Kluyveromyces lactis: one gene and its partner. The protein of the gene in region 2 interacts with the protein of the main gene of each other region in a pairwise test. Links are inferred from orthologs where the notes say so. Each region holds a gene or a part of one and is shown on either strand. Other genes may lie near its edges.

Region 1 (2,258 bases), on a different chromosome or scaffold from region 2:
ACGAGCAAACTGTTCATTTTTTCTGATAACACTCTTAGAAACATCTAATTGCCAGCCAAGATGTTCCGGGTACCATGGCAAAGCCATTGGTGGCTTAACCACTTCATTTTCCCAAGTAACGTTGGTCAAATTGGGTAGATGGTGTTCTTGGAACAGTTGTAGTACTTCTTTAGAATGTTTACGAGAACCAGTGATTCTAAAAGTTAAAGGTAATTGCGACTGGCAAGTCTTCTTAAACTGGTCCCATTCTTCAACTGGGATTACACCTAAATCCTTGTAGTAAGTTTCCCATTTCTCGTTTTCCTTCACTAATTCAGTCCAATTCTTTTGGTTGTTGGAGTCATCACGAGTACCAAAAGTCTTTTTTGGTCCCTTCTTTTGATTCTTTCTTCTAGCCATTTCTCCTGCTTGTATGTTGCACTAGTTCTGGTAAGAGAGAACCGAATAAACCCAACAGCAAGACACACAAGACCGTATCTGACAGGAAACAATGCTCATCTCATCGCATCATCAACGGATTCTAATTTTCACTTTTTCTTTTCTTCAAAGTCTCGGAAAATTTTCAAGTCACGTGGTATGTAAATAGAGAGACTGGATCAGGTACACAATGGAAGGCATGTAAAACACACACACTAAGTAGTATTACCTCTAAATATCAGCTGGTGAGTATCTGTAATTTATATCCTTGCTAATCTGTTGAGAAACCCCTTCAGACACGGATCCAGTTTCCGGCAGCACTAAGTAATCTTCGATCCATTTCTCCAATAACCAACTAATTGTGATGAGACTGGTCTCATCGAATCGTTTCACTAGATGCGGGTACCTTTGTAAGATGAGTTGTGTCAAAAAGTAATGCACCACTTTCGTATCAATAGTGGGTAATCTCGTTTGTAATTCGTCTCTAGTCAATAATGGGATTGGAACGATATGGTTCAACCTTAAACCAAGGCATTCATCCGGTGAAAGAATTGATCCATTTGGACCTTTGACGAGGTTATGGCTTGCTTCATATACGTTTGCGTTCATTGGAGGTATGCTTTTGGAATGCTAAATGGCTGTGTATAGTATGAACCGGGGAAACAGAAGTTGTTGTAGTTATGTGCAATTCACAATTTTTTAACATAGTGAGATAGTTCAAATTTAAACTAGACAAACAGTGCAGCTTCGCTGGAGTATTTGTTGAATGATGAATCAGTGCACGACGCTAGCCATATAACATACTTCTAAGTACAGCCAAAAAAAATGAAGGACAGTGTATGTCTGCCTCTGAACCCACACGCACTGCTTAACCACGGGACGTGCAATCCACACCACCTCGTCACGGGCAGTGTTCGTTGTGCTGGATGAGACTCCCCTACAACGTTAAACACTAAACTAGCTTCAAGTATTAGTTGAAATGCTAAATCGTTACCAGTTGGGCTTCGAACCGCAGACTTCTCATGCGACCGAGCCACCACAAAGGATAACCCGCAACAATTTTGTAACGGTGGGACACGTCGACCACGTGACAACCGAACCGAGATCCAGCTGTCCAAAGCAGTTACACAAATAAATGAACGCGTAGACCGGGCGGCCAGACACGAAAAGCGGGTAATGGCATATAACCACTACGAGACATTTCACGCCTGTTTGGGATACCATTGTGAAACCTCTTCCATTTGAAAGAGACCCGGTGTGACTGTGCGGTTTCGAACCGGAGCCACATATCCAAGCATCACACTCCTTCGACAGGGTGCTTTCTTAAACATATTTGAGGAAAAAAGAAGATGATAGCAGATTGAGGCGATCACGTGAAGGTTTTTCTTTATTCAATTTCCAGCCCTAGGGATTACTCCTCTAATATGATATACTTATGCGCTAGAGGAAAAACCTGGATATACATATACACATATTTTTACTTTGAATATACACGACGACTATATCTGATATACTTCATGCAGCCATGCCTTTCGTTTTACTTACACATACGAAGTGACTTCGAAAAATCTCTTCAAGTAATAGATCTGGAACAACGAATTCACTACAACGACGAGCAATTGGAACACAGACCACCATTTGACACGGTCATTAGTGGATTCTGCTGTGTTTCTGTGAGTTCTTTCTCTGATAATAATGTAACTTTGTTCGTTCTTCACTTCTTTGACCAGTTTGGACAATTGTCTCACTGAGCCGTCCAAAGATCTGGTGTTTGGATCATCTAAATCGACATAAATAACACCGAAAACATTGAAAGTCACGTCCTTAGTGTCAATGTTCGA
Region 2 (3,822 bases):
TATTTATCAATGCGGTTTCCTTGAAAAGTTTTACTGACGCCGAAGTGGGGAAAGGTGTGAGTTTGAGAAAGTTAATGAGAACAGTGTATGCGGGCAGCATGCATATTATTCAGCATATTTTACCTAAAATGATAGCGTACGATCGCGGTTATATAATTGACATTGCTTCAACGGAAGGCTTATACACTACGGAAAATAAGTCTTCTTATGGTGCCATACAAGCAACGAAGTTTCAATTACTCCAACTGATTGAACAGACGTTGAAAGAGCAATATAAGAAGAATTTTTTGATCAGCAACGGCCGAGTTCGCTGCTTACTTTTGATTTTTGGTAAAGCTCTTAATTCTAAACCGCACCAGGATATGACGACGGCTAAAACTGTTTTCAGTGCTATCTTTCATAATAGACAAGGTGTTCAGGGATACTCGATGAGGACGAATTTCAAATTAGCTCTAAGAGAATTGGATTGGCAATGGTATCAGATGTTCAAATATTTATCCCCCTTCCTATAAAACTTTTGCCGTTTATGAATATCCGTTCCTTAATGCCGCTCTTGTTGAGAATCTAAACGCGGGAGGGTGGAATTCATATATGTAAAATGTATATATTCAAAAAAATCTGTTAATTCAAAAGCTGATTATGCTTCCTGAATGCGATTATGTAGCTCTTTCCATATTTCAAGATTTCTAGTGGCATTCTCCTTCATATATTTCGCATAATTCTTAAAGATTTGAGTCAATTCTTCGTCACGTTCTTTAATGAAGTTTGGTAATTCAGTATTCTTTAGAGTTTCAGAAATAACGACGAGATCACTAGTAGCAACTTTCAATGTTTCATCTAGTTGTATCAACTCTTTCTCTAAGGATCTTGCAGCTGCTGCAGGATCTTGTTCCTGATAACTGACAGAGTCCTTAATTATGATTGCAAGTTGGGTAAACTTATTTATGAATTTTCCAGAGTAGCTTTGTGGTCCTGCAGGGTTTTCTAGATTCACTGCTCCATTTGTACCAAGCTCTTCCTTTACCATATTGTCTATTTGCTTGTGGTCGTTTTCTTGCTGTTGGAACTTGATGAGTTGACCTCGCTTGTAAAGTATTGTCCTTTCTAAGATATCTTTTTGGATCAACTTTAACCTTCTATAATGAATTAAATCCCGCACAGCAGTGGCCATGTGGGCACATTCACTAAGAGGCTCATTAATGTTGTAATGCAAATTTCCGACAAGAGTTTCCAGAATTTCTTGCAGAGTCCCATATGCATCACTGGAGTGTGAAAGTAATTCTGCTAGTCCACTCTCGTTCTTTGTTTCGTCAGTTGACAATTGTGCAAACTCAGAGCTGATTCCTTTCAAATCTTCCCGTAAATAGTTCACCTCCTTGGTAGTAGCTCTTGAGTATTTATACAAACCAGAATGTATCAATTGTTCGTAATTTTTGAATTCCGCTTCAATTTTAGTGAACTCATCAGCGTCCGAAGCTGAATGATTGTCCTTTGATGCCAGCAGTTGTGTTGATGATGACGGTACTGGCAAATATGAATGTGCTTTTGTAGTGTTTGTAGGGTCTATTGGATTGCACTGAAGAACACTTTTCGGTAATGATGAGATAGTAAGAGAGCTTGTGATTAGATCGTTCCAATTTTTATTGTTCGGATCCAAAAAGTCGTACACGATAGAAGTCTTTGTTATTTCCTGGTTTTTCAAGAGTCTGTTCAAGAAACTTGTAAGCATCCTGATTCTGTGCCGTATGAGCTTCTCATCATTCGTGGTAACCGGTCCGTTAATTACTGATAGCGAAAGATCTACTGAGTCTCCGCTTTCCGTTGGTAATAGGTAACTTGATTTAGAATATGTCATTGCTTTTCCGTAACTCTTGAGTGATTGCTTTTCAGGAATTGGCGGGATCAAACTTATTGGAAATAACTTAACTAACACTTTCCGCAAACTCTCAAAATCGCTGTAACGCCGCTTCACAATTGAATCACCATATTTGATAGCGTAAGCGATATATGTTCTTCCCTGTCCTTCGGATACTTTACTTGCCTCGAGTATTTGGGCCCTTTTCTTACCTTCTTTTGTCATCCCGCTCGCGTTATGGTTTAAGGTATTATATGGCACATCTGGCGAACTATCCTTACTCGTAGCTACTGAGCTCCTACGCCGTTCCTTACTATTTTTTCTTCTGTTTGGCTGAAGAAGCTGGTCCTCGTTATCATCACTTCCGGCGTTTTTGGCATTCTCATCATCGTCATCATTCTTTCCATTCTCATCACTTCCGTCCACGTTATCCTGCATATAGTTGAAAAATGGGTTGTCCTTTTTGATAATCTGGGTATGTATTACATTCTCATGAGGTTGATCACCGTTCTGGTTCGTGACTGCAGTGTCTTTGGGAGATCCGTTGCTTTCCCTTCTCATCTCGCTCTGCGTCTGTAAATCAGGTTCATGCTCCTTATGCTCCTCAACAGTCTTATTGTTTTTAAGTCTTGAAGGACTGTTATTTTCTAAATGCGTTACTGAATTCGGCATTGGTTCAAAATTTATCTGCATAAGGTCACTAAATAGCTCTTCATATGCTCCTAATTCAACCCTTTATCTACTCATATTGAAGTTCGTGTCAATTCATAAGGGGCGTTTTACATGTCAACAAGTTGTAACTTAACTGCCATGTTCGGGTAACAGTCTTCTCGATTTCTAATACGTGTTTCGGGGCCCAAAGTTTTTCTGGCGCAGCCCAATTGTTCATCATCAACATGCATCTTGAAAAATCATTTATACCATTACGGTTAGTTAAATCGATCTGACCAGATGAGATGCGATGAGACCAGATAAACTTAATTACATGTTATGGGAATGTATATAGTTTTAGAACCTGATTTCAACGTAAGGATTTTTATATCAGATAATGAGCCACTCAAGGCAAATCTTGGGTAGGTATATCTCGCCCTCAGTACAAGAAGAGATTCTTTCCTCACTCATTGAAACTGAAGATTATGAAGGTATTAGTTCGGTGCTAAGTTCGGTTGAACTAACAGAAGATGTCTCCATTAACACTGGCAATAGACTATCTATCACTCTTGGAGAAGTAATCGCTAAACATGTCAATGATGACGATGGTTTGCGAGTTGAAAAAGATCAACAACTAATTGCATTGCTTAAGCTTTGTCCCAAGCTAAAGCAAAGCAATAAATTTATGCATGATTTTCTAAGTTCCCATTTGAGCTCATTCATCCTTTCGCATATAACAATGCTATTTGATGTTGAATGTCAACAACTGATTAGAATATCTGGGTTTATTCAAGTTAACTCGCTCGATGACGGATTGATCTTAGATGGAACAAAACTGCTAGACATTCTTGAAGTGTTGGTTCAAGGGTCCGCTTCAGGATCATATAACGACCTCATCGCCAACAGTGTCAACATTGGAAAGCTACTCTTTTTACTTTCGTTATCGAAGGATGAGAAACTTTCAAATGCGGCGACTTCTTTGTTCAAATGGTGGATCCCATCGTTCGCTACAGCCTGCAAAGAGGATGAGAAACTAGATATAACCGTATGGTCTCTTTTACGTAACTTGCTTACCGAAAGCGCACCAATCACAGTTGCAAAAAATGGCTATATCTTTTGTTTAAGGATGTTAATGGAGGATGGATTCTCAACAACAAGTCAAAGTTTCGCCCAATCAAAAGATTACTGGAATTTAATACAATCCGGACTAAACCAGGAGGTTCATGAAATCAAGAAAATTGTGCTCTCTATCATGAAGTTGAGTCTCCAATTACTTGCTCAAAATAACTTACCCATCCTAACCGATATTATCCAAT

What was found.
Region 1: the proteins of ATG20 (region 2) and RRN10 interact in a two-hybrid assay, tested with the Saccharomyces cerevisiae proteins (2 studies listed by BioGRID). The link is inferred for Kluyveromyces lactis from reciprocal best matches to the Saccharomyces cerevisiae genes ATG20 and RRN10.

Annotation. Positions count from the first base shown.
Region 1 is NC_006042.1:1,161,507-1,163,764, reverse strand, and holds RRN10 (Rrn10p), read right to left. Parts: upstream 1,027-2,258; coding exon 649-1,026; downstream 1-648. Other genes in the region: NCL1 (tRNA (cytosine-C5-)-methyltransferase), read right to left, coding at 1-399; EMP24 (Emp24p), read right to left, coding at 1,959-2,258. UniProt on the Saccharomyces cerevisiae protein: Component of the UAF (upstream activation factor) complex which interacts with the upstream element of the RNA polymerase I promoter and forms a stable preinitiation complex.
Region 2 is NC_006041.1:817,192-821,013, forward strand, and holds ATG20 (Atg20p), read right to left. Parts: upstream 2,549-3,822; coding exon 638-2,548; downstream 1-637. Other genes in the region: KLLA0_E09153g (short-chain dehydrogenase/reductase), read left to right, coding at 1-512; TRM3 (tRNA (guanosine(18)-2'-O)-methyltransferase), read left to right, coding at 2,904-3,822. UniProt on the Saccharomyces cerevisiae protein: Required for cytoplasm to vacuole transport (Cvt), pexophagy and mitophagy. Also involved in endoplasmic reticulum-specific autophagic process and is essential for the survival of cells subjected to severe ER stress.